Linked DNA regions of Struthio camelus. The protein of the gene in region 4 binds, or shares a complex with, the protein of the main gene of each other region. Links are inferred from orthologs where the notes say so. Each region holds a gene or a part of one and is shown on either strand. Other genes may lie near its edges. The genes, in order: TIMM29, TIMM10B, TIMM10 and AGK.

Region 1 (5,933 bases), on a different chromosome or scaffold from region 4:
TGAATAATCCCACGAGGAGTCAACGCGCGAACGACAGATGCCGCAATAAAGGGTTAATCGATAGTTAGGGGGTCGCTGGGGAGCCCGGGGGGGCGTCGGAGAGACGCCGGGCCGCTAGCGAGGCCCCAAACCCAGCCCGGGGCGAACGCCCGCAGCGCGCGGTCGGTGCGAGCGTCGCCCTGCGTTTCCCTAGGGGGGGGAAGAGGGGTTCGGCCGCGTCCCGCAGGGAGGTTTCCTGCGAGCGCGAGCCGCCCGAGACCCTCGCCGGCGGGACCCCGCGCCCCCCTGCCCGCGGCGGGTGGGGGGCAGGCGGCGACGCGGCCGGCCGGGGCCGGGACGCGGAGGTCTCGCAGCTCGGCAGCACCCTCTGCCGCATCCCGCGGGAGCGGCGCAGGGATGGAGGCGGAGGGCGCGGGGCCGAGACGCTTCCCGCCGCCGGGCGCCGCATTCGCCCCGCCAAGCGCCGTCCCCGCCGAGGCGGCACGAAGGAGGCGGCGGCGCGCGTCGAGACATCCGCCGCCTTTATTGAGCGGCGCCGAACGGCCGCTGCGTCGCTCAGTCACCGGCCCGCGGCGCCCGGCGGCGGCGGCTCCTTCTCCGCTCGCTCGATTTGCTCCTCCGTCAGGACGACGGGCTGGTACCGCTCCTCGAAGAGCTTCTCGTTGGCCTCGGAGTGGAGGTGGTGGAAGGAGACGGCGCGGAGGTGCTCGGGCAGGAACCTGAACTCCTCCTCGTTGATGTCGCAGTCCCTCATCTTGGCGCGCAGAACCCACCAGCGTCCCCAGAAGCCCACGTCGAGGACGCGGGCCGGGAGCTCGCGCCAGCGGGGCTGCAGGTAGCGGCACTGCGCCAGGTAGAGGCCGGCCTGGGCGTCGAAAGGCGCCTCGTAGACCAGGGCGAAGAAGACGAGGTTCCGGTAGCGCAGCTGGCCCCGGTCCCGCAGCCGCAGCAGGCGCTGCACGTGCCCCTCGGCGACGCCGCTGCGGATCCACGGCGAGAGGAGCAGCAGGGAGCCGGCGGCCTCCAGCAGAGCCGCCTCGAAGGAGCCGGCGCCGGGGACGGCGGCGCCGCAGGCGGCCGCCCCGGCCAGCAGGGCCAGGCAGCCCGCAGCCCGGCCGGGCCGGCGCCGAGCCCCCCGCGCCGCCTCCCGCGCCGCCTCCGCGTAGTCCTGCAGCAGCGCCCGCCACCAGCGCCCTGCGCCCAGGCGCCGTCAGCGGGGAGGGGGCTGCCCCCCCTGCCCCAGCCTGGGCCCAGGAGTCCGGGGACCACCATAACCCCCTCTTCAATGGGCCCAGGAGTCCGGGCAGCCCCCCCAACCCCCCCTTTAATGGGCCCAGGAGTCCGGGCAGCCCCCCAGCCCCCTCTTCAATGGGCCCAGGAGTCCGGGCAGCCCCCCCAACCCCCCCTTTAATGGGCCCAGGAGTCCGGGCAGCCCCCCAGCCCCCTCTTCAATGGGCCCAGGAGTCCGGGCAGCCCCCCCCAGCCCCCTCTTTAATGGGCCCAGGAGTCCGGGCAGCCCCCCCCCAGCCCCCTCTTCAATGGGCCCAGGAGTCTGGGCAGCCCCCCCCAGCCCCCTCTTCAATGGGCCCAGGAGTCCGGGGACCCCCCCAACCCCCCCCTTCAATGGGCCCAGGAGTCCGGGCAGCCCCCCCCAGCCCCCTCTTCAATGGGCCCAGGAGTCCGGGGACCCCCCCAACCCCCCCCTTCAATGGGCCCAGGAGTCCGGGCAGACCCCCCCCAACCCCCCCCTTCAATGGGCCCAGGAGTCCGGGCAGCCCCCCCCAGCCCCCTCTTCAATGGGCCCAGGAGTCCGGGGACCCCCCCAACCCCCCCCTTCAATGGGCCCAGGAGTCCGGGCAGACCCCCCCCAACCCCCCCCTTCAATGGGCCCAGGAGTCCGGGGACCCCCCCAATCCCCCCCTCCAAAGGTCCCAGGAGTCCGGGGCCCCCTTGGACCCCCCCAGCCCGGCCCTCACCGGCGCGGCTCCCCGCGATGCGCGCCCAGAGCCCGCCGCTCCCCCGGGCCGGGGCCGGGGCCGGGGCCGGGGCCGGGGCCGCCGCCTCCCCCGCCGCCGCCATGGCCGCGAGCGGCGCCGGAAGTGGCTCCGGCCGGGACGGACACGGGGACGGACCGGGCGGAACCATGACGGCGGGGGGGCGGGGCCGGGGGGGCCGGACACGGGGACGGACCGGGCGGAACCATCGCGGCGGGGGGGCGGGGCCGGGGGGGCCGGACACGGGGACGGACCGGGCGGAACCATCGCGGCGGCGGCGGCGGGGGGGGGGAGCCACGTCCGCGGGGCCGGGCCGGGTACCGGGGGGGGGGGGAACCGGGGTGGGGGGGGACCGGGAGGAGCCGGGGGGTCCCGGTCCAGGCCCAGGAGTCCCCGGGGGGGGTTATGGGGGTCCCGGTGCAGCCCCACGGCGGGGCTGGCGGGTCCTGACCCAGGCGGTGCCGGTCCCGGGGGGTCCTGGGAGTCGCGGGATGCTGGAGGGGGGTCCCGGAGGCCCCAGTGCCGGGGGGATCCTGGGGATACCGGGCCCGGGATGCCGGGGGAGCTCCGGGGGGGGGGTCCCGGGGGTCCTGGTGCCGGGGGGGGCTGCGGGGTCCTGGGGGGGTCCCGGGGGTCCTGGTGCCGGGGGGTGCTGGGGGGTCCCTGGAGATACCAAGCCCGAGATGCCGGGAGGGTACCGGGGGGGGGGTCCTGGGGATACTGGGCCCGGGATGCCGGTGGGGGGGCCGGTCCCGGTGCCAGAGGGGGCCCTGGGGATACTGGGCCTGGGATGCTGGGGGGGGTCCGGGGGGGTCCCGGGGGTCCCGGTGCTGGGGGGGCCTGAGGGGTCCTGGGGATACTGGGCCCGGGATGCTGGGGGGTACTAGGGGGGTCCCTGGGGATACCAGGCCCGAGATGCCGGGAGGGTACCGGGGAGGGTCCCGGGGGTCCTGGTGCTGGGGGGTCCTGGGGATACCGGGCCCGGGATGTTGGGGGGGGGTCTCGGGGGTCCCGGTGCCGGGGGGTCCTGGGGATACCGGGCCCGGGATGCCGGGGGAGCTCCGGGGGGGGGTCCCGGGGGTCCTGGTGCCGGGGGGTGCTGGGGGGTCCTGGGGGGGTCCCGGGGGTCCTGGTGCCGGGGGGGGCTGCGGGGTCCTGGGGGAGTCCCGGGGGTCCGGGTGCTGGGGGGTCCCTGGGGATACCAGGCCCGAGATGCCGGGAGGGTACCGGGGGGGGGTCCCGGGGGTCCTGGTGCTGGGGGGTCCTGGGGATACTGGGCCCGGGATGCCGGTGGGGGGGTCCCAGTGCCAGAGGGGGCCCTGGGGATACTGGGCCTGGGATGCTGGGGGGGGTCCGGGGGGGTCCCGGTGCTGGGGGGGCCTGAGGGGTCCTGGGGATACTGGGCCCGGGATGCTGGGGGGTACTGGGGGGGTCCCTGGGGATACCAGGCCCGAGATGCCGGGAGGGTTCCGGGGGGGGTCCCGGGGGTCCTGGTGCTGGGGGGTCCTGGGGATACTGGGCCCGGGATGCCCGGGGGGGGGTCCCGGTGCCAGAGGGGGCCCTGGGGATACTGGGCCTGGGATGCTGGGGGGGGTCCGGGGGGGGGTCCCGGTGCTGGTGGGGGGGGGGGGGCGCCCCAACCGCCTCACGTCTCGCTCCCGCAGCGAGAGACCCCGCCATGGCGGCGTCCGCCGAGCTGCGGTTTCACGGTGAGTCCCGGCGCGACGTCGGGGCAGAGCCGGGGCCCCCCCGCCGCGGCCCCCCCCGCCGCGGCGCCGGGCCCCTCGCGGCCGCCTGACGCCGACCGTCACCGCGCAGAGCTCGAGGAGGCGGCGGAGCCGCCGGCGGGCGAGCGGCCGAGCCACGCGGCCGTGGAGCTGGGGCCCGGCTGCGAGGAGGGCGAGCCGGGGGCCGACGCCGACAGCGCCGAGGTGACGCAGCCGCCGCCGCCGCCGGCACCACGGGGAGCGGAGGCCCCCGGCCGCGGCCCCGCGCTCACGGCCCTTCCTCCGCCCGCAGCTCCTGGGCGGGCAGCAGCAGCCGCGCAGCTTCTGGACCTTCGAGTATTACCAGGCTTTCTTCGACGTCGACACCCACCAGGTAGCGGCGGTCGCGGCGGCCGGACGGCCCGGCTCCTCGGCGCCCGCCGCCTCTGAGACGCCGTCGCCCGCCGGCAGGTGCTGGACAGGATCAAGGGCTCCGTGACGCCGCTGCCGGGGAAGAACTTTGTGCGCCACCGCTTGCGGAACAACCCCGACCTGTACGGTGAGAGGGCAGAGCTGCCGCTGGCCGGGCGCCTGCCGGCGCCCCGGGGCCGGCCCCTCGCCGACCGCCCACCCGCTTTCCCCTCCCCAGGGCCCTTCTGGATCTGCGCCACCCTCGTGTTCGCCCTGGCCATCAGCGGCAACTTGTCCCACCTGCCGGAGAAGCAGGCGTCCCCCTCCTTCCACTACAGCCCCCAGTTCCACAAAGGTGCGAGGCCCCGGGCTGGCGGGGGGACGCGGGGAAGGGGACGGGGCAGCCCGGGCTTTGCCTTCATTGTCCCCGTCCCGTCCCCTCCGCAGTCACCATCGCCGCCACCGTCGTCTACTGCTACGCCTGGCTGGTGCCGCTGGCGCTCTGGGGCTACCTGCGGTGGCGGCGGGGCCCCGGGGCGCGCGGCAGCTCCTACAGCTTCCTGGAGACGGTCTGCGTCTACGGCTACTCGCTCTTCGTCTACATCCCCACAGCGGTGAGTCCCCGGGGCGGCGGCGGTGGGGCCGCGTCCCCCAGCGGAGCTGACGCCGCCGCCGTCCCCGCAGGTGCTGTGGCTGATCCCGGCCGCCTGGCTGCAGTGGCTGCTGCTGGCCGTGGCCGCGCTGCTCTCGGCCTCGGTGCTGGCGCTCACCTTCTGGCCGCTGGTGCGGGCCGAGGGCCGGGCGGCCGCCCTGGCCCTGCTGGCCGCCGTCGTCGCCCTGCACGCCCTGCTCGCCGTCTGCTGCAAGGTACCGCTCGCCGCGGGCCGGGGGGAGCGCCGCTCTGGGGACGCCGGACCCCCCCACTCATTCCCTCCTTTTATTTTTTCTCCCTCCCAGCTTTATTTTTTCCAGCGGCCGCCGGGCGCCGGCCCGGCCCCCTCGCCGCTCCACGCCACGCTGGGGACCGAGCCCCACCACAGCCGCGCGCCCCACCACTTCGCCAACCTCTCCCAGCCGGCGAGGTAAGAGGGGGACCCCGAGCGGGGCAGGCAGCCCCCGGCTCGATGCGGACGGCCCCGGTGGGGGGCCAAACCCTCGCCTGGCCCTCGGCTCTTCCCGCAGCTCGAGGCAGTGACGCGGCTCCAGCCCCCGCGCGAGGACGCGGCCGTTTTCCTGCCTGGCGCGGCCGGCTCTGCCCTGCCGGCGGCTCTCGGCACAGCCCGGTTCCCGGCGGGACTCCTCCGGACGGGGTGCCGGGCCGGGCCAGCACCGTCCCCAACTCTTCTCTATGCAAACAGCGACCGAAATAAACCCCGGGGCTGTCCCCGCCTGGCGACCCGCGTTGTCTCCGGCTGGGAGCCGAGGGCCTGGGGAAGGGCCGCGCCGGGGCTGGGGACACGGGGTCCGGCCGGGAGCGGACGCGGTATCAAAGGCAGCAGGGCGCGAACCTTCGAAACCCTCCCGTTTATTCAGTACTACAGCCGAAAAACAGCAGATCCGCTACTCCTAAGGCGCAGCCCCAGCGAGGGGTTGGGGGCCGCCCGCGGCAAAGGGAACGGCCCCGGGGAGACGGTCGCTCTCCGCAGCGGGGTCCCTGCGCGCCCCTGCCAAAAACCGCCGCTCGCGGCCTTCGAAAGGAAAACAAAAGAGAAAGGAAAGTTCACGCTATGAGTGCTGGACGCTAACAGACACCAAATACACTTCCTAGTGCAGCCACGCAAGGGAGCCTTCCATAACAGATGCCCCCGCGACGCCCGCCGGG
Region 2 (6,765 bases), about 160 Mb from region 4:
CCTTGCCCCACCCCGCGGGCTCCGCCCTGCGCCTGGCCCCGCCCCTTCTTCGACACCACGGGCCGAGGCGGGGACAGAGGAGGGGGCCGGGCGCGCAGCCCCCGCCCCGCCCCTGCGGCAGGGACCGTCCCCCCCGCCGGGCGCAGCGCGCCAGCGCTCGAGGTCTGCTCGCCCCGCCGCACGCCCACAGCCCGACATTCGCGATGACTCTTTTATTAGGACCGGGAAACACCTTCCCAGCAGTAGAAAAGCTCCAACTCTGCAGCACCAAAGGAGCTTTGTTGTTAAGACAAAAGAGTTCAGCTAAGAGCCCTCTTGGCCAGAACCGCAGCACTAGTTTTCTCCCTTACTGCCTTCAGTGCCAGCCGTCGGTCTCAGCCCCAGCGCCACCAGACACTGAACGGATGTGGCCGATGTCAGGAGGCTGTTCGTAATGCAGATGCATTAGAGGATGTGGACCTGCAAGGTCTGGTGTTGGTGCAGAGAGGATTCTACCGCTCCAGACTAGCAGTAGCAACAGCGTGTGGAGGCCCAGATCTCACTGCACTGCCCACAAGTTACTTCTCACACTGGTAACACAGGGCCCAGATCCAGCCTGCAACCATCCATCCCACCACTGCTGTGAGAAGGCAGGGCCCAGGAGTTACAGCTGTGCTATGTGCCAGCATCTGAGGCTCCTTCTGTGGCTCCACCAATGCCAGAAGCCACCTGCAAGTCAGGCTGGGCATCAGGGCCCCCAGTACCTGGGAGGGCAGGCGGTGCCACTGATACTTCCTTGGCAGAATTTGCAGACGTCTGGGCTGCACTGGCCTCGTAGTCCGAGGCACGGCGCTGCACAATGGAGGGCATAAGCGCCACATAGGCACTCATGAGGCGGTGGTTGGAGTGGACCAGTTTTCCAGCACAGCTGTCCAGGCACATCTCCTGCAGGATGGCGAGGTGTCAGCACGGCAGGCGGGCTCCTCATCAGGGGCACGCGCTGCCTCTCCCCACAGCCCCTCCAGCCCATCCAGTGCTGTGACGCGAGCAGGAAACCAGCACTGCAAGACCTGCGGTGCTCCAGCCGCCCGAGAAAGGCCCAACGCTGGGCTCACCTCATGCTTGGTGAGCACGCGGTAGTTCAGGTTGGAGACGCAGCGCCGGAAGCAGAGTTCAGTCATCCGGTTGTAGACCAGCAGGAAGTCCCGCAGCTGGAAGAGCAACAGCGCTGGTGCACGCTCACCCTGCTCAGGGTCTGCCAGTGTCCCAGGCCCCCACCAACCCCCTGAGCATCTCGGGGTCCCCGCCCAGCACTCGAGCGCCCCGGGGTCCCCACCAACCCCCTGAGCATCTCGGGGTCCCCACCCAGCCCCCGAGCGCCCCGGGGTCCCCACCAACCCCCTGAGCATCTCGGGGTCCCCACCGAGCCCCCGAGCGCCCCGGGGTCCCCACCAACCCCCTGAGCATCTCGGGGTCCCCGCCCAGCACCCGAGCACCCCGGGGTCCCCACCAACACCCTGAGCATCTCGGGGTCCCCGCCCAGCACTCGAGCGCCCCGGGGTCCCCACCAACCCCCTGAGCATCTCGGGGTCCCCGCCCAGCACTCGAGCGCCCCGGGGTCCCCACCAACCCCCTGAGCATCTCGGGGTCCCCACCCAGCACCCGAGAACCCCGGGGTCCCCACCAACACCCTGAGCATCTCGGGGTCCCCGCCCAGCACTCGAGCGCCCCGGGGTCCCCACCAACCCCCTGAGCATCTCGTGGCCCCACCGAGCCCCCCAGCGCCCTGGGCCTTGCCACTCCCCGGGCCCCCGGCCGAGCTCCTGCAGCCCCGCAGCGCCCCAGGCCCCACCCGGCCCCGGCCCCGGCCCCGGCCCCGGCCCCGGCCCCCCTCACGCTGCGGAGCTGCTGCTGCTCCCCGCTCTGCTCCATGCCCGCACAGGCACTTCCGGCCAGGAGCAATGACACAACTTCCGGTCGCGCCTGTCACCTCCGGTGTTTTCGGAAGCGCCGTTCCTCTTGGGGCCGCCGCTTCCGGGGATCAGGCCATTTCCGGCCCTGTTCCGCCCGGCGCTGTTCCCGGTCGCCCCCTGGTGACGCCACTTCCGCCCTGCCTCCCGGCGTCCCCTGCCCGGGGTGTGACGTCGGTTCCGGTGTGTGCCGGGGCCGAGGCGGATCGGGGCTCCGGCGCCTCCGGGGCGGGGGGACCCGGCAGCGGCCGGGGCGGCGCAGGTGGGCGGCGGGGCCTGGGGCCTGGGCCTGGGGCCTGGGGCCTGGGGCCTGGGGCCTGGGGCCTGGGGCCTGGGGCCTGGGGGAGCCGGGGGCCGGGACCTGGGGGCGGGGGGCGCTGTGTGCTCGTGGACAGGGGGTGCGGGGGGGGGAGTGGGGGGAGCGGGGGGCGCTGTGTGCCCGTGGACAGGGGGTGGGGGAGTGGGGGGAGCGGGGGGCGCTGTGTGCCCGTGGACAGGGGGTGCGGGTGGGGGAGTGGGGGGCGCTGTGTGCCCGTGGACGGGGGGTGCGGGTGGGGGAGTGGGGGGAGCGGGGGGCGCTGTGTGCCCGTGGACAGGGGGTGGGGGAGCGGGGGGCGCTGGGTGCCCGTGGACAGGGGGAGCGGGGGGCGCTGGGTGCCTGTGGACAGGGGGTGCGGGTGGGGGAGCGGGGGGAGCGGGGGGAGCTGTGTGCCCGTGGACAGGGGGAGCGGGTGGGGGAGCGGGGGGAGCGGGGGGCGCTGTGTGCCCGTGGACAGGGGGAGCGGGTGGGGGAGTGGGGGGAGCGGGGGGCGCTGTGTGCCCGTGGACAGGGGCTGCGGGGTGGGGGAGTGGGGGGAGCGGGGGGCGCTGTGTGCCCGTGGACAGGGGCTGCGGGGTGGGGGAGTGGGGGGAGCGGGGGGTGCTGGGTGCCCGTGGACAGGGGCTGCGGGTGGGGGAGTGGGGGGAGCGGGGGGCGCTGTGTGCCCGTGGACAGGGGCTGCGGGGTGGGGGAGTGGGGGGAGCGGGGGGTGCTGGGTGCCCGTGGACAGGGGCTGCGGGGTGGGAGAGTGGGGGGAGCGGGGGGTGCTGTGTGCCCGTGGACAGGGGGTGCGGGTGGGGGAGCGGGGGGTGCTGTATGCCCGTGGACAGGGGCTGCGGGGTGGGGGAGTGGGGGGAGCGGGGGGTGCTGTGTGCCCGTGGACAGGGGCTGCGGGGTGGGAGAGTGGGGGGAGCGGGGGGTGCTGTGTGCCCGTGGACAGGGGGTGCGGGGTGGGAGAGTGGGGGGAGCGGGGGGTGCTGGGTGCCCGTGGACAGGGGCTGCGGGGTGGGGGAGTGGGGGGAGCGGGGGGTGCTGGGTGCCCGTGGACAGGGGCTGCGGGGTGGGAGAGTGGGGGGAGCGGGGGGTGCTGTGTGCCCGTGGACAGGGGGTGCGGGTGGGGGAGCGGGGGGTGCTGTGTGCCCGTGGACAGGGGCTGCGGGGTGGGGGAGTGGGGGGAGCGGGGGGTGCTGTGTGCCCGTGGACAGGGGCTGCGGGGTGGGAGAGTGGGGGGAGCGGGGGGTGCTGTGTGCCCGTGGACAGGAGGTGCGGGTGGGGGAGCGGGGGGTGCTGTGTGCCCGTGGACAGGGGGAGCGGGGGGCGCTGTGTGCCCGTGGACAGGGGGTGGGGGAGCGGGGGGCGCTGGGTGCCCGTGGACAGGGGGAGCGGGGGGTGCTGTGTGCCCGTGGACAGGGGGTGCGGGTGGGGGAGCGGGGGGCGCTGTGTGCCCGTGGACAGGGGCTGCGGGGTGGGGGAGTGGGGGGAGCGGGGGGTGCTGTGTGCCCGTGGACAGGGGCTGCGGGGTGGGAGAGTGGGGGGAGCGGGGGGTGCTGTGTGCCCGTGGACAGGAGGTGCGGGTGGGGGAGCGGGGGGTGCTGTGTGCCCGTGGACAGGGGGAGCGGGGGGCGCTGTGTGCCCGTGGACAGGGGGTGGGGGAGCGGGGGGCGCTGGGTGCCCGTGGACAGGGGGAGCGGGGGGTGCTGTGTGCCCGTGGACAGGGGGTGCGGGTGGGGGAGTGGGGGGAGCGGGGGGTGCTGTGTGCCCGTGGACAGGGGGTGGGGGAGCGGGGGGTGCTGTGTGCCCGTGGACAGGGGGTGGGGGAGCGGGGGGCGCTGTGTGCCCGTGGACAGGGGGTGGGGGAGCGGGGGGAGCGGGGGGCGCTGTGTGCCCGTGGACAGGGGGAGCGGGGGGCGCTGGGTGCCTGTGGACAGGGGGTGCGGGTGGGGGAGCGGGGGGCGCTGGGTGCCTGTGGACAGGGGGTGCGGGTGGGGGAGTGGTGGGGTTGTGTGCACCGCTGGTGCGTGGGGCTCCGTGCTGGGAACTGCAGCGTGAAGGCATGGCAGATGCCTGCCTGAAACAGCAAGTGCCTCCAGGGCAATCAGGGCTGACCTCGGGGGCCGCTGTGCTAGCGGCACGGCTGAGGGCACCACAGCTGGGTGCTGCTGCGCGTTACATCTGTCCCTGCTGCCCACTGGGGCCAGGAGATGGTGCCCCGCTTCAGGAGGGGGCTGGGGATGTGTCTGTGGGGCCACGGCCACCCCATTCACCCAGGGGAGAGCCCAGTGCCAGGTGCTGTTGGGTGGTGTTGTCTTTCCCTGGCGCTGCAGCCCCTCCAGAACAGAGCGACTGCCTGCTCAAGGGAAGCCCACAGGGCTGGGAGTTTCCCAGGGCCCAGGCCATGTTGCAGGTAGAGGTTTGGCTCAGAGAGATCAGGGAGTACTGCTGGAGTTGCGTGTTCTGCCCTTCGTATCCTGCTCCCTGTACTTGCTAAGGCGTGTTCGTGTTGGGTTGCTGCTAGGGTCAGTGGTGACTCCCACTGTTTTTGATATGGGACCAGATCTATAGAGCTCTTGTCAAAGAGCAAGTGCCAGTGCTGGTGGGTCCCTGCGTGACTGGAACCATTGTGCTTACCTGGTGCTGCCTGGCCTCAGGCCCTGGCTGCCGCAGCGAGGGGTGGGTGCCACCCAGGTGGAGCGTCCTGCCTACAGCTGCAGGGCAATCAGGACTGCTGGGTCCGCTCTCTGCCTTTGCCTCTGCCGTTAGTTGACTGTGAGTTGTTTCTCTTCCCAAGCTGTAGTTTCCCTGCTCTGGAGCAGGCTCTGGAGCAGGAGCCATGGTCACTGTTTGAGGGCTGTTCTGAGCTACAACCTGAGGGCAGGTGCAGAGACCACTAGATATGAGCTATACGGTACAGCTTTCGCTGTGTAGCCATTTCACATGACAGCATGGTGGAGGAATGTGGTTGGAGGCTGTGTCCTCTGCATGCACGTTTCATCCATGCTGGAGCCCTTTCCTGTGGTGTCCAGTTCTTCTAGGTGTTGTTTCCCTGTCAGGCAGCAGGGAGCTAACGGAGCGTAAGGGCTCGGAGCGTAAGGGCTCGGCTCGGAGGTGTGCTCAGGTGCCTGGCGCTGCCTGCACTGGAATGTGCTCCGACCGGTCTGTGCACAGCACTCCCGAGAGAGCCCGTTGTTCCAGCAAGGTTTGTTCCTGGCTCGTGGCCCCCTCTGCCTGGGTCCTGCCCCCACCTCGTGGATGGGCTCTTTGCTGCCCAACCACTGCTCACTCCTCTGACGCGCAGCCCTGCCTGACTGTGGACGTGGCTCTTGGCTCTGTTTTCCTAGGCTCTGGGCCAGCAGCTGCTGTGCTGTGAGGTCCTGGTTGCCCTGGGGCAGCCAGACTCTGCCTCCCAAGCCCGGGGACAGGACTGGCTGCAAAAGAGTGGTGAGGGGAAGGGAAAGCACTGTCCTGTTTCTGAAATGTGAGAGTCGTGGACTGATGGAAGGGCAGAGGAAATGCTCCAAAACCCAATACACAATGGGCTGGTGGAATTGAATGCTACTGCTCCCGGATGCTGAGCGGGATCTGGGACTGTCTTCTGCAAGGCACACAGCCTTCTTCGGGAGCTTTTCTAGGAGCAGAGGAACTGCTGGCAGGGCCAGGGTGGCATGTTTGGAGGGGCCGCTGTCTTGGAGGAGCGCCTGCGCTCAGATAGGCACTAGCTGCTGTGGTGGGACCTGGGTGGACCCTGGGGACTGCTCAGTGTGCGCAGTTTCTAGTCCTGCTGTGAGTGTAACAGGGAACTGCTGCCTGGTGTCTGCTAGCTGCTGTTCAGTGCCGTGCAGCTCGGCCTTGTCTTTTGCCCTGCTGGATCCTGGGCTGAGAAGCCCCAGTGTTTTCCTATGTTGAAACCCCAGGACCCCTGTCCACCTGAGGGGTGGTGGCCGTCTCTGCCTGTTCCCGGGGTTCCTCCAGCTGCCAGCAGAGCATCTGTGTCCTTGCAGGCCCTGACGATGTCGGACGGGATCATGAGCAAGGCTGCCACCATGGAGATCCCCATCAGCAGCAACGGGGACACGGGCAGCCTGCCGGAGGATGACGGCTTGGAGCAGGTTTGCGGCTGGGGCCCATCAGCAGGGGTCAGGACAGTGACATGCTAGACAGCCCAGATGTTGCTCTTCTGGCTGCTGTGGGGCAGACAGGGCCTTAGCACTCTCCCAGCTCTGACCCAGTCTTTCCATTGGGTCTGTGTTTCTCTCTGAGGCTAAATGCCCTGTTTCTGTCCCAGCTCTGTGCACTCCTCTGTTCTAGGACTTGCAGCAGGTGATGGTGTCAGGGCCCAACCTCAATGAAACCAGCATTGTGTCTGGCGGCTATGGGGGCACTGCTGAAGGCATCATCCCCACCAGCGCCATCAAAGGTAGGTTGAGCCTCAACGCAGGTCTGCATAGATGGGGCTTGGGGAGCAGGGGAAAGATGAGTGCTGCTCCCCAGTTGGCAGAG
Region 3 (6,360 bases), on a different chromosome or scaffold from region 4:
TGTGCACACACGCACCTCTGGGCTGCTTCTGTGCAGGTGTCCCTGGGTGGTGTCTCTTTCCGGGTGTCCCCAGGGGGTGTCTCTCTCCGGCTGTCCCTGCGCCTGTCCCCGCAGGTGTCCCCAGGGGGTGTCTCTCTCCGGCTGTCCCTGCAGGCCAGCGGGGCCGGCTCAGACAGCGCCCTGCGCCCACCCTACGGGGGATTATGGGGCTCAGGCCAGCTCTGCCTAATCCCGGGGATTATAAGGGCTGGGCCCGGGGCGGGGCGGGGGCACCCAGGGGTGCACCCTGCAAGGACACAGCAGGGGACAGCAGGGGACAGCCAGGGCAGCACCACCGCTCATCCCGATTCAGGGGGTCGAGGAAAAGACCTCTTCCCCTGCCACCCCCCCGGCTGGGGTGCGCACGACCCCCTGCGAGCCACAAGCGAATCCCCCCGCCGCCGCCCCGGCTCCGAGCCTCGCTGCCCTGCAGTGGTACCCGCGTCCCGGAGTGACGCCGCGGCGAGCCGAGGGTGCTCCGAAACACCTGGGTTTATTGGGGTGGCGGGGAGAGGGTGTCCCGGGCGGGTGTCCCACCGGCGGCTCAGGCGGTGCCGGAGCCCTGCTGCATGCGCTTGAGGAGCTCCTCGTCCTGCAGCGACAGCTCCGTCAGCTTCTTGCCCATCCTCTCGTGGACGTCGAGGTACTTGGCCACGCAGCGGTCCAGGCACACGCTCTCGCCCTTGGACAGCTCGGCGTCCTTGTAGTGGGGGGGCACGCACTTCCGGTGGCACGCGTGGGTCATCCTGCGCCGGCACCCGTCACCCGGGCGTCCCCCGAGCCCCCAGCGCCTCCCGGCACCCCCTAAAGTACCTCCCAATGTCCCACAGCCCTCAGCACCTCCCGTGCCCCCCAGTACCCTCCAATGCCCCCCAGTGTCCCCCATGCCCCCCAGCACCCCTCAATGTTCCACGGCACCCCCAATGCCCCCCAGCACCCCCCGTGCCCCCTAGCACCCCAATGCCCCCCATACCCCCCCCAATGTCCCACAGCACCCCAACACCCCCCAGTGTCCCACAGCCCTCGGCACCCCCCATGCCCCCCAGCACCCCCCAACGTCCCACAGCACCCAGCACCCCCCAGCCCCCCCATGCCCCCCAGCACCCCCAATGTCCCACAGCACCCAGCACCCCCCAGCCCCCCAATGCCCCCCAGCACCCCCAATGTTCCCCAACACCCCCCATGCCCCCCAGCACCCCCAATGTCCCACAGCACCCAGCACCCCCCAGCCCAATGCCCCCCGTGCCCCCTAGCGCCCCCCATTCCCCCAGCCACCCCCAGCCCCCCAATACCCCCCGTGCCCCCCAGCACCCCCCAACGCCCCCCCAGCCCCGGGCTCCTCCCCCTGTCCCCCAGCGCCGCCCAGTGCCCCGCTGGTCCCCACCGGTTGTACATGTCGGCCATCATGTCCACCTCCAGCTCGGCCGCCAGCTGCTGGGCCCGCATCGGGTCCATGGCGCCGGGCACGGGCACGGGCACGACCACCCCGCGGCGGCGGCGGCTGCCGGCCGGAACCACGTGGGGGCGCGCGCGCGCGCTTCCGCCCCGGCACGGGACCGCCCCGCCTCGCGGCGGAGCCAATAGGAGCCAGGCGCGGAGAGGGCAGGGGCTCAGCCCCCAACGCGGATAGGGCGGGCCGGGAGGAGGGGGCGGGACGGCGCGGGGCAGCCATAGAGAGGGAGCGGGGTTGCGGGGCGGGGGGGGGGGGACGGTGAGGGCGGCGGATAGAGAGGACGCTCGCGCTGCCCGCCGAAGGGGGCGGAGCCAGAGCAGCAGCGGGCGGGATTGGCGAAGGCGCGCCCCGCCCCCTCGCGGCTGGGCCCCGCCCCCTCCGCGGAGTCCTCCCGGCCCCGTGGGCCTGTCCGGGGAGCCCCGGCCCCCCCCGGCCCCGTGGGGGGGGGTCTCAGTCCCCCCCCGTCCCCTCTGTGTCCCCACGGTCCTGTGGGGGGTCTCAGTCCCCCCCCGTCCCCTTGCGTCCCCACGGCCCCATGGGGGGTCCCCTCATGTCCCCCCTTCTGCATGGCTCTATGGGGGTGTCCCTGTCCCTCCCATGTCCCCCATGTCCCTATGACCCTGTGGGGGGGTTCCCTGTCCTCCCCTGTCCCCCCGAGTCCCCATGGCCTTGCAGGGGGGGGGTTCCTGTACCCCCCATCCCCGTGTGTCCCCATGGCCCTGGGGGGAGGTCCCTGTCCCCCCATGTCCGCCATGTCCCCATGGCCCTGGGGGGGTCCCTGTTCCCCCTTGTCCCCATGGCCCTGTGGGGAGTTCCCTGTCCCCCCATGTCCGCCATGTCCCCATGGCCCTGGGGGGAGTTCCCTGTCCCCCCTTGTCCCCATGGCCCTGGGGGGGGGGTCCCTGTCCCCCCATGTCCCCATGGCCCTGTGGGGAGTTCCCTGTCCCCCCATGTCCGCCATGTCCCCATGGCCCTGGGGGGGGTCCCTGTCCCCCCTTGTCCCCATGGCCCTGGGGGGGGTCCCTGTCCCCCCATGTCCCCCATGTCCCCATGGCCCTGGGGGGAGTTCCCTGTCCCCCCTTGTCCCCATGGCCCTGTGGGGAGTTCCCTGTCCCCCCTTGTCCCCATGGCCCTGGGGGGGGTCCCTGTCCCCCCATGTCCGCCATGTCCCCATGGCCCTGGGGGGGGGTCCCTGTCCCCCCTTGTCCCCATGGCCCTGGGGGGAGTTCCCTGTCCCCCCTTGTCCCCATGGCCCTGGGGGGGGGTCCCTGTCCCCCCATGTCCGCCATGTCCCCATGGCCCTGGGGGGGGGTCCCTGTCCCCCCATGTCCCCACGGCCCTGTGGGAGGGTTCCTGTCCCCCCCCCCATTCCCCCATGACCCCCTATGTCCCCATGGCTCTGTATGGGGGGTGGTCCCTGTCCCCCTCATCCCCCCTTGTCCCCCCTGTCCCCCGTACGCGCCTGCCCCCCCCACCTCGTCCCTTCGTCCCTGTGTCCCCGCAGCCGGGCGCCCCCGCCACGTCCCTGTCCCGGGCCCGCGTGGGCGACCCCGGGCCCGGCCAGCTCCCCGCACGCCTGTCCCCCCGCGTGCCCCATGTCCCTGCCTGTCCCCGCGGGCCCCAGCCCGGCCCCCCCCCGGCCTGCATGAAAGGGGCACCTGTTCCGCCGGGTAAAAATAGGCAGCGAGTGGGGCCGGCCGCGGCGCCAGCACCGGTGAGTGGGGCCGGCAGTGGGGGGCACTGAGGGCAGCGGCCGGGGGGCACCGCTGGGGGCTGGGGGCCGTGGGGTGGGGGCTGCCATGGGGCACTGCTTGGGGCTGTGGGGTGGGGGCTGCCGTGGGGCACCGCTTGGGGCTGTGGGGTGGGGGCTGCCATGGGGCACCGCTTGGGGCCGGGGGGTGGGGGCTGCCGTGGGGCACCGCTTGGGGCCGGGGGGTGGGGGCTGCTGGGGGGCACCGCTTGGGGCCGGGGGGCAGGGGCTGCCATGGGGTGCCGCTTGGGGCTGTAGGGCAGGGGCTGCTGTGGGGCACTGCTTGGGGCTGGGAGCTATGGAGCAGGGGCTGCCATGGGGCACTGCTTGGGGCCATGGGGCAGGGGCTGCTGTGGGGCATCGCTTGGGGCCGTGGGGCAGGGGCTACCGGGGGGGCGCCGCTTGGGGCTGTGGGGCAGGGGCTGCCTTTGGGCACCACTTGGGGCCGTGGGGTGGGGGCTGCTGTGGGGCACCACTTGGGGCCGTGAGGCAGGGGCTGCTGTGGGGCACTGCTTGGGGCTGGGGGTCTGGGGCCACTGTGGGGCACTGCATGGGGCTGGGGGTTGTGGCATGGGGGCTGCTGTGGGGCACCGCTTGGGGCTGGGGGCCGTGGGGCGGGGCCCGCCGTGGGGTGCCACGGGGGAAGGCACCTGGCCGGGGCTTTTCGCCCCGCTCAGCCCCCTGGCACGGCCCCCCCGGTGCTGCCGTCGCAGACATGGAGCCCGAGGGAGCTGCCCGGCCGCCCGCTGCCCCCGAGCCCCCCGCCTGCCCCACGGCGCTGCCGCCTGCTGCGGGGGGGGGGCCTGAGGGGCAGGAGGGGGGCACTGCTGCGGGGGGGCCCACGGCGGGGGCGGATGGGGTGGCGGGGGGCAAGGCCGAGGCAGCAAAGGATCCTGGGAGCGAGGCCGAGGCAGCAGAGGCTGCTGGGAGTGAGGTGAAGGCAGCAGAGGCTGCTGGGAGGGAGGCCGGGGCAGCAGAGGCTGCTGGGAGGGAGGCGAAGGGAGCAGAGGCTGCTGGGAGTGAGGCTGAGGCAGCAAAGGATCCTGGGAGGGAGGCTAAAGGAGCAGAGGCTGCTGGGAGCGAGGCGAAGGGAGCAGAGGCTGCTGGGAGGGAGGCCGAGGCAGCAGAGGCTGCTGGGAGCAAGGCGAATGGAGCAGAGGCTGCTGGGAGGGAGGCTAAAGGAGCAGAGGCTGCTGGGAGCGAGGCTAAAGGAGCAGAGGCTGCTGGGAGCGAGGCCGAGGCAGCAGAGGCTGCTGGGAGGGAGGCTAAAGGAGCAGAGGCTGCTGGGAGCGAGGCGAAGGGAGCAGAGGCTGCTGGGAGGGAGGCCGAGGCAGCAGAGGCTGCTGGGAGGGAGGCTAAAGGAGCAGAGGCTGCTGGGAGCGAGGCCGGGACAGCAGAGGCTGCTGGGAGGGAGGCTAAAGGAGCAGAGGCTGCTGGGAGCGAGGCGAAGGGAGCAGAGGCTGCTGGGAGGGAGGCCGAGGCAGCAGAGGCTGCTGGGAGGGAGGCTAAAGGAGCAGAGGCTGCTGGGAGCGAGGCCGGGACAGCAGAGGCTGCTGGGAGGGAGGCTAAAGGAGCAGAGGCTGCTGGGAGCGAGGCCAGGACAGCAGAGGCTGCTGGGAGCGAGGCCGGGACAGCAGAGGCTGCTGGGAGGGAGGCCGGGACAGCAGAGGCTGCGGGGAGGGAGGCCGGGGCTGGGATGGAGGCCGGGGCAGCGCAGCGGGGGGCCGGGGCGGCGGCCGAGCCCCCCCCGGGCCAGCAGGGCCCCACGTGGCAGCAGGACGAGGACGACGAGCTGTGGCCCGAGTTCGGGCCCGCCAGCCCCACGTCCCCCCCGGCGTCCCCCGTGTCGCCCACCTCTCCTGCGGCCCCCACCGCCCCCACCGGTGAGTGCCGGGCTGCCAGGGAGGGCACCGCACCTCCGGGGGCCCCGTACGATCCCCCCCAGGGGTCCCCTATAGCTCCACCACCCCCCTGGGATCCCCTATAGCTGCCCCACGCCCCCAGGGGTCCCCTATAGCTCTACCATCCCCCTATAGGATCCCCTATAGCTGCCCCATGCCCCTGGGATCCCCTATAGCTCCGCTATCCCCCTGGGATCCCCTATAGTTCCCCTGTCCCCCTGGGATGCCCTATAGCTGCCCCATGCCCCCGGGGTCCCCTATAGCTCTGCCATCCCCCTGGGATCCCCTATAGCTGCCCCAACCCACCTGCCCACCCAGGACCCCCGTTCCCCCAGGATCTCCTATAGCTGCCCCGTTCCACCCCCCCGGGACCCCCATCTCCCCCGGGATGCCCTATAGCTCCCACATCCCCCCGGGATGCCCTAGAGCTGCCCCGTTCCCCCCCCCGGGCGCCCCCGACCCCTCTGCTCTCCCCACAGCTGGCGCCGTCGCGGGCTCGGGGGGCCGGCAGAGGTGAGCGTGGGCCGGGCCCCCCGGCTGCCCCCCACCCCCCCAACCGCGGCACCCATGCCCAGCACCTGCACCCCGCGACCTGGCTGCCCCACGCCTGGCACCCCATGGCCTGCGCCCCGTGACCCCAAGCCACACGGCCACCATCCCACGGCCTGTGCCCCATGGCTGGCACCCCATGGCCCCATGCCCGACGGCTGCCACCCCACGGCTGCCACCCCATGACCTGTGCCCCACAGCTGCCACCCCACAGCCTGCGCCCCATGGCCCCATGCCTGACAGCTGCCACCCCACGGCTGCTACCCCATGGCCTGTGTCCCATGGCCCCATGCCCGACAGCTGCCACCCCACAGCTGCCACCCCATGGCCTGCGCCCCATGGCCCCATGCCCAACGGCTGCCACCCCACGGCTGCCACCCCATGACCTGCACCCCATGGCCCCATGCCCCATGGCTGGCATCCCCCTGCCATACCCCCTGGCTATCACCCCTGGTCCCCCCGCCCCATGCCCCCCACCCCACGCTGGCTCTGTGCCCACAGGGGGGCAGCCGGGGGGGCGCCGGGGCACCGGGTCGGGGGGCGGGTGCCGGTGGGCACCCGGGCGCAGGGGCGCAGCGCCATCCTGGAGAAGTTCGGAGGGTGAGTGGGGCTGGGGTGCGGGGGGCCCACGGGGCACCAATGGGGAGCCGCCGGGGGGGCTGCCGGCC
Region 4 (7,354 bases):
CTTTGTATTTTTGCACTCTTACCATCAGACTCTTCTGTTACCTCTCATTTTTCTATGCCTTGGCAGAAACAATCCTCTGCAGAGATCAAGAAATGGCTAAACAGTTGTCATTTTATACAAACAGTATTTAAACCTCTGAAAGCAGTACTTTACAGCTGTGCTTCAGGCAACATCAAATTACACAGAGCAGTATGTTGCCACAGGACTTCTTACCTTGCATCCTCTTGGCATGGTAAGGAAATGCTGTCTGGATAAAAGGCGAAACTTAATGGGATGTATAAACATGTTATTTTTTTACTTCATCTTCTGGGTTAAAGCACTGTGCCTACATTTGACACAAACAACCTCTGAGCACTTAAATTTAGATATCAAAAGTTCCATTTTTGTTTGTTTGTTTGGCTTTTATATTTTCCTCTTTATTCATTTTTGGTTTGACAGCATATCACCTACGGTAAGCTCCACTTTCTCCTTGATCAGAGACTTGTTGTCACAGGTCCTGCACAATGGGAACTACGTAGCACATGAATACAGCTGAAACCAGTATTAGGCACAGCATATAGGCACATAAACTTACAGAAAGAATAAAAAAAAAGGGAGGAAACTGGTTATGTCTGATGCTCCTGTGTCTCCTTAAGTGACCATTCTACATACGCACAAGGACCAGATTTAGTCTTTCGTTAAAGCTTTATTTCAGTAGCTCTCCACAGTACCCAGGTCTGAAATGCACTTTGTTCACTGTCATTAGTATCTGTGGCAACAGAAGACCAATAAGGAGGCAACTTACATAAGCAGGGTACATGGGAAGATCACAGGATGCTCTGACCTGCCAGCCAGCTTCTCCTATGAGTGCTCTTGAACAATTGCTTCCTCCTTGTTTTGTACATATATTTATGGCTGTTAAGTTTATTTCGGCTAAGAGGTATCTAGAATGATAGAGTTCCAAGTAATCACTTGGATACATTTTGCTACTTTATCTGAATTTAAAGTTCAAGTCTTTAGAAGTCTTTAGTGGACTGTAAGCTCAGAGCTTGACTGAGACTACAGGAAGGCACAGAAAAAAAAACCAAACAACCTGTTTAGTACAGATATTTCTGCTTACAACACAGCAGTACAATTCTTTTCTATGTTGGTCTATGTAGGCATATATGTGAAATCATGACCTCATTACTACCATTTTTGCTCGCCTGAAGTAATTCTCCATCCTATCTTAACCTACTCTACAATCAGCAATTACCAAAAAAAAAAAAAAAAAGGGTGGATAGAGAGTTTTTGCTGTTTGCCCACAGTCAACTGAGTCTTAATGCTTCAGGTAGGAAATAAACAGATGTATCCTTCAAAACAAAGACTCTGATTTAATGCTAAAGTCTCCAGGCAGAAGGAGATAAACAAAGAAGGAAAGTATAACACACCCCATAAGCAGTTTTATTTTCTTAAGTTTTCTGCTGAGGCTTGACAGCATTTTAATGCAAGTAGAAAAGAACACTGTTAAAAAATCCTGGCTTAACAGTTAAAAAGATACAAGGTGGTGACAGAAGATACAGTAGCAACAGAAAGAATAATTTTAAAAAATAATTTGACTATACTTGCATTTTGGTCAAGTATATTAACTCTAAGGGAGTTAAAAGAACAGAGATTAATATATAGGCCTAGCTATTTAAAAACTGTAAACTAAGATTTTGACTACTATAAGGAGCATTTCGTCCATGGATAACAAATGTAGAAATCATAGCTGACTATGTATGATTTATGTCACAATATAGTTACTGCAGTAATTGATGACTTTCTTCCAGTTCCACTGGTGACCGCAGCAGAGCATACACACAATAAAAGTCTGCACAGCTGCTGCCAACGCTGCGTGTCTCAGAAGACACAAGTTCTCATGGAGCAAAGATCTGGCCATCTTCGTGAAATATGACACTATTAGAAAAATAGAGATGGAAAAGCCCCTAGGCACATGACCACAATCCCATCACAACCTCCTTCTGTTTATGAAGCCAATTTCCATTCAGTCCCTAATGATTTGTATCAGTGGAATCATTTGCAGGTATAGGGCCTATATTTTCATTTATCATTACAATCTTGCTTAAAAGCAAGTAACCCAATGACATACATGTGGTTGACTGCATTTCTAAGTTAAAAGAGAAAAATCTGTCTACTCTCCAGTTGATCGAAAAATGACTCAAGCTGCTCTGACACGAAGTTTGTTTAAAGCAACTCTGACACAAGGTCTCTTCAAAGCTACCGCCTGGACTGGACCCAAACTCACAATAAGCCAACACTAACAGTCACAGGAAGAATTTAAGCCTTTTTAGGACCACAACTTGATGGAATGGCCACAGCAATCACCCCGAGGAGGCTCCTACACTTTGGAATGCATTTAAAAAGACAGATGAGCATTTCTCCACCAGGAAAGCCCCACTTTAACGGTCGTAGGGAAGGAAGGGAAGGGAAGACGGCCCCTGCTCTCTGGAAAGCTGAGAAGGCTGCGGCAAATCCCTTCCTCTTGAGGGGCCAGTGGCTTTTTAAGGAATATATATTTAAAAAAAACCACACACGCACACACGCACACACACACAGCCTCAGTGCCAGAAGGGCTGCAGTTCCCCCTGCACCTTCCCCAGGCTCTCGCTGGCGGGGGCAGCAGCCCCCGGCCTTGGGCGACCCCGGGGGGCGGGGGGGGGGGGGGGTCGCTCTACCCGCCCGGCCTCCCCCGGCGGTAGTTACCGGTGCTTGCCATAGAGCCAGCTGCCGCCCCAGGAGAGCAGGCAGGCCCCAACCGTCGTTTTCTTCCAGTGGTTCCTCAGGGCCTTGAGCGCGCTGACCACCCCGGCCATGGCGCCCCGCCTCGGCCGCTCGCGGCGACGAACCGTTTGGCGGCGGCAACGGCCACAGGGACCCGGCTCGGCTCGGCCCGGCCCGCGCGCGCCGCCCGCCCCGGCTGGAAACGGCTCCCCCGGCGCTCGCGTTCCGCGCAGCAACGGTCCCCCCTTCCCCCGCCCCCCACCACCGCAAACGCTACCCCAACGCCGCCCGCCGCAGTTAAAACGCGTCCCCCACCCGCACCCCGAGGCGTTAGGCCAGGCCGCTTGGGAGGGGGGTCGGGGCGACCCTGGCGGTGGCAGCAGCAGCGGCGTGTTTTGCCAGCCAGGGCCTGGGCCGCGTGCTGTGTCCTTGCACGGCCCCACACGTTTGCTAAGCGCCCTACCTTAAATATATATATATATATATATGTGTGTGTGTGTGTGTGTGTGTGTGTATGTATCCCCAAGGAAAAGTATTTTCATACCCGTGTTTGTGTCCTCGCAGTCTTTGCTCTTCACTTATCCTCCAACCCCCAACATGACCCGAAGCCCTCAGCACTGACGGCGTTCCTCAGCAAACCACCCCGCCGAAGCCTGGGCCACGCTGTGCCGCAGGTGCAGAAGAACAAGCGGTAACAATGAGGACAAAACAGAAATTTCTGGGTGCTTGGGCAGTACAAGCCGAGAAGTATTACCGGTCCGTCAAGAAAAAAATATTACTAGTACAGAGCTGCTCACCAAAAACACTAAGAAGCAGAAACTTGGACGAACACAGCCACCAGAAACAAAAGGAGCAGGTGACCTGCTGCATAGTAGAGGGCAAAAGTGAACAGGAGGTTTTTCACACCAATACAAATACCCAAGGTACAAGAAAATTACTGAAAATATTTCTGAAGATTCAGCTAACTGAATAGAATGGAAAGTTGTATAAGAAGGACTTGGGGTTTGAGCCCCACCAACTACGTGACCACATGCACCAGGATAAAAGTCTCCAACCGTCCATGGAAAACTGACCATCCCTGCAAGGAATCCATACAGTGAAAAGCAGAATGAATGTCCTGCAAGGGAAAGGCGTGGCAATGACAAAGTGACAAGACCTGACTTCATGATGGGATAAGCTTGTGGGCAATCCGGTGGCAACAGTCCATACTAGCATTAATGCCATGGCTTCATATAACGTCTCACAGGTTACAAACAGCCTCAGAGATTTCAGAAAAGTGCTGAATGGGAGGCATGTGTGATTAATACTCACAGAGATCCTTCCTGTCTTCACGAGAAAGCCAGACAGATGGTAGATCGTTCGAAATGAGCCATTGGCTAAATAATGGTGTAAGGAAGCATTCTGTTTCTGTAGAACATTGGCCCACTTTTGGCGGGGACAAAGGTTTACACACTTGGGATGACAAGGAAGCAGTCTGGAAGAGACCAACTGGTCAGTGTAATAAACTTAAGGCCAGACAGAATTTTTTTCTGATAATGTTTTTTCCCTCTTGTAAAATGCCATTTTCATCAAATTCTGAACATTTATAACAATGTCAAGATCAATAAAATGAATTTAACGTAAAAACTTCCCCAAATCCTTATGCTTAACGTTGTCAGAATTGGATGCGAGTAGTAACATAAGGGGGATGAGTGAGGCCAAACGTTGGAGTCTGGGTATGCAAAAGTCTGTTCTGCAAGAAATCAAGTTAATGCAGAAGACAGTCCGGAAGATATTCTGTTATTGGTGATAAGGAAAACAGATTGAAACCCATGGATTGGGTAGGGATTGGTTTCCCTACTTTTTTTTTTTTTAAGTAAAAGATTTGGGGCTTGTTTTCCGAAGGCAAAACGTTAAAAGATCAGCTGCTGATGAATATTTCAGCAGTGGTACCCTTATCCAGTTAAATATTTGGGTTCATCTGCACAGTTCATCTCAGTGTGCTAAGTACATACACTTGATGTGCTGCTGAATGTTCCAGGTGGTGTAGAATGATTAAATGTCCTACTTTTTCTTTTGTATTGGCCTACTTTTTGTGAGAATTCAGGTGGTGTGGCCAACTGCTAACAACAACAGCAACAAATATTAGGACTCTCATCCTACTTTCCTTAGCTTATGAAAAGATTGCGTGCTGATATATGCTTTTCAAATTCAGTAATTCTTATGAGGTGACACAAATAATTTACAAACATCTGTAACTTCCTCCTTCACAATCAAGTCTACAGAGTATAGTTGTGTTTATACTTATGTTTATTAAGACTCCTTCCAAAGCAAGCTTGAATTTTTAAAATAAAGTCTTTTTAGTATGTCAATACATGTTCAAAGTAGTCAAAAAAATGCTTAAAAGTATGAAGGGCCTGAATATCTCTGAGACAGCTGAATGGAAATTTACTTGAATTCATGTGCATGAAAATACATTTGAGTTAGTATGAATGAGAAATTTTAGCCCAAATATTCGTTGTCTTTCACCATTCCTAGCAGAGTTTGGAATCATATCATAATATTTTGTATGTATACTCGAGGTAATCCTTCAATTAGAGATCTCTCTCTCTAGAGTGACTGCACATGGAAGGCTAGGTCTAAGGTAGTATAAATCAGTTTACCTCAGCGATGCTGAGTGACGCTCCCCAGTACAAGACAGACATGGATGCACTGGGGTGAGTCCAGCAAAGAGCCATTAAGCTGATTATGGTTTTGAAGCATCTGACATATGAGAGGAGAGCTGGGATTGTTTAGTGTGGAGAAGATAAGGCTCGGGGGGATCTTACCAATGTGTATAAACAGCTGATCTGGGGGGAGTAAGGAAGATAGAGCCAGACTCTTCACAGTGGTATCCAGTGACAGGAAGAGAGGCAACGGGCACAAATTGACAGACACAAAATTCCATGCAAGCATAAGAAAAAACTTTTTTGCTGGGAGGGTGGTCAAACACTGCAACAGGTTGTCCAGAGAGGCTGTGGAGTCTCCGTGCCTGGAGATATTCAAGACCCAATTGGACACAGCCTGGAGTAGCCTGCTCTGGTTGACCCTGCTCTGAGCAGCAAGGTTGCACTAGAAGATCTCCAAAGGAGCTTTCTGACTTCATAGACCCTGATTCGGTGACTTTATCTGAGGATTTGGCCTGGGAATTTTGAGATGGCACTTTCTGAAGTGAACTACCCTTAAAAGAAACACTGTAGACAACAACAACAGATTGTGCACTTGTCTCATTATCTGGCTTTACTTACGATGCAGTGTCCATTCTAAAATCCCTCCTGGCAAACATGTATGTCCTAGTTTTTGGCTGTGGCCATCTGATCACCCTCAAGGTAGATCACACCCGCTGTTCATGTACCAGGTACTTCCTTTTTAGCTCTCCCGGTTCTTTGCAGGTGACGTCAATAGAAATGGATGTTAGAGTAGGCACAATGGAAAATGAGAGGGTAAACAGCTGATTTTGTACAACCTCTGGATTATATACTGTAGTCTTTTTTTTAGGCTAGGCAAAACAATTATTACCTTTTTCAGAAAACTGTTCAGAGGAGACTGATATGTGTTTTGTTTTCTTATGCTTACTAGATTGTTTGTGCAAAAGAAGCCAGCATTTAGCAAGCTGGCCCAGAAATCTAATACTTGAGTTGGGATATGTCACCTGAAATTATCACACAAGTTGTCTGTGAATACAGGTCAGTGCCTCATCCCAGTTACTCATATCTGACCCATTTTTGAAGGACAATTTTCTGTCATTCTGTCTGCACCACCAATGCCAAGTCTGTTAGCAGAAGAAGCCTCAGATACATGACCATGCCTCAGGGACTTATTTGTTTATAACTTAAGTGAAGTCACTTGCTTTACCAGCTGCCTATTTACTGAGTTCTCTTCTTAGCCAGAAAATATAGGAGAAATGATAGAAAGTTTATTTCTCTACGACATGGCAATGCCCTATAATTATGCATGCATAAATATTGGCAAGGACAGAGAATTATATAGTTTCTTTTTCTGTCCAGCACGGTCTGTCCTAAAATCTCCAAATCCGCTAACTCATCTGGGTTGGCAACCTTCTGTCATAGCCAGTCCTCTGGGAATGGGACTGAATTTATGTAATCATTTTACTGAAGTCACCAGTTGCATCCCTTGGTGTGGAATTTTGAGCCGGACCTTCCAAAACTTCCAAGAGAATCAGGAGCAGAAATCCCATTCACACCACTTCATACCAGCTGGGGCTTTATTCAAATTCAGGGTCTGAAAAGTAATTTCAGCCAGCTGGTCTGTAGGTAATCCTCATACAGTTGACTAGATTAAACCATCCTGCATCACCGATAGATTATATGCCAGCACTATACAAGGACAAAGGGGAGTGTCTTTGCATGATAGTAGCATGAAAGGAATGTGCGTGTTTGTACATAAGAGAAAAGGGCTTCCTCAGTTCCATGTAGCTGTTCTATCATCCTTACAGCAACAGAGAATTGAGATGCCTATGTCAGACAGCCAGTCTGCTGGATGTTCTTGCATTCATGACTTAGCTAAGGATGGGCTGAGAGTATCAGATAGCAAGGCTGTAATCTGCATCTCCTGCCCTAGTGGAGATCATACG

The links.
Region 1: the proteins of AGK (region 4) and TIMM29 are in contact, whole or in part, in a cryo-EM structure (PDB 7CGP), measured with the Homo sapiens proteins. The link is inferred for Struthio camelus from reciprocal best matches to the Homo sapiens genes AGK and TIMM29. Residues at the interface, in NP_060708.1 of Homo sapiens: His33, Asn36, Arg39, Arg40, Cys43, Gln44, Gln47, Asn51, Lys82, Pro86, His89, Leu90; in NP_612367.1 of Homo sapiens: Tyr145, Gln146, Cys149, Arg150, Tyr151, Leu152, Gln153, Arg155.
Region 2: AGK (region 4) and TIMM10B share a complex: the UniProt entries of both Homo sapiens proteins name them as parts of the TIM22 complex. The link is inferred for Struthio camelus from reciprocal best matches to the Homo sapiens genes AGK and TIMM10B.
Region 3: the proteins of AGK (region 4) and TIMM10 are in contact, whole or in part, in a cryo-EM structure (PDB 7CGP), measured with the Homo sapiens proteins. The link is inferred for Struthio camelus from reciprocal best matches to the Homo sapiens genes AGK and TIMM10. Residues at the interface, in NP_060708.1 of Homo sapiens: Phe49, Gly50, Asn51, Gln52, Leu53, Ile54, Pro55, Pro56, Val60, Ser91, Gly92, Met93, Asp94, Val95; in NP_036588.1 of Homo sapiens: Glu40, Glu42, Leu43, Ser44, Lys45, Gly46, Ser48, Arg53.

Annotation. Positions count from the first base shown.
Region 1 is NC_090972.1:4,660,847-4,666,779, forward strand, and holds TIMM29 (mitochondrial import inner membrane translocase subunit Tim29), read right to left. Parts: upstream 2,080-5,933; coding exon 1,977-2,079; intron 1,195-1,976; coding exon 560-1,194; 3' UTR 505-559; downstream 1-504. Other genes in the region: protein YIPF2, read left to right, coding at 3,673-3,703, 3,813-3,925, 4,014-4,094, 4,172-4,259, 4,350-4,466, 4,559-4,725, 4,796-4,978, 5,069-5,193 and 1 more. UniProt on the Homo sapiens protein: Component of the TIM22 complex, a complex that mediates the import and insertion of multi-pass transmembrane proteins into the mitochondrial inner membrane.
Region 2 is NC_090942.1:225,139,805-225,146,569, reverse strand, and holds TIMM10B (mitochondrial import inner membrane translocase subunit Tim10 B), read right to left. Parts: upstream 2,003-6,765; 5' UTR 1,912-2,002; coding exon 1,876-1,911; intron 1,191-1,875; coding exon 1,095-1,190; intron 925-1,094; coding exon 655-924; 3' UTR 507-654; downstream 1-506. Other genes in the region: ARFIP2 (arfaptin-2), read left to right, coding at 6,276-6,374, 6,574-6,682. UniProt on the Homo sapiens protein: Component of the TIM22 complex, a complex that mediates the import and insertion of multi-pass transmembrane proteins into the mitochondrial inner membrane.
Region 3 is NC_090946.1:7,516,371-7,522,730, reverse strand, and holds TIMM10 (mitochondrial import inner membrane translocase subunit Tim10), read right to left. Parts: upstream 1,602-6,360; 5' UTR 1,495-1,601; coding exon 1,424-1,494; intron 786-1,423; coding exon 584-785; 3' UTR 514-583; downstream 1-513. Other genes in the region: SMTNL1 (smoothelin-like protein 1), read left to right, coding at 3,958-5,125, 5,623-5,656, 6,194-6,292.
Region 4 is NC_090942.1:65,589,034-65,596,387, reverse strand, and holds the start of AGK (acylglycerol kinase, mitochondrial), read right to left. Parts: upstream 3,005-7,354; 5' UTR 2,835-3,004; coding exon 2,725-2,834; intron 1-2,724. UniProt on the Homo sapiens protein: Lipid kinase that can phosphorylate both monoacylglycerol and diacylglycerol to form lysophosphatidic acid (LPA) and phosphatidic acid (PA), respectively. Does not phosphorylate sphingosine. Phosphorylates ceramide.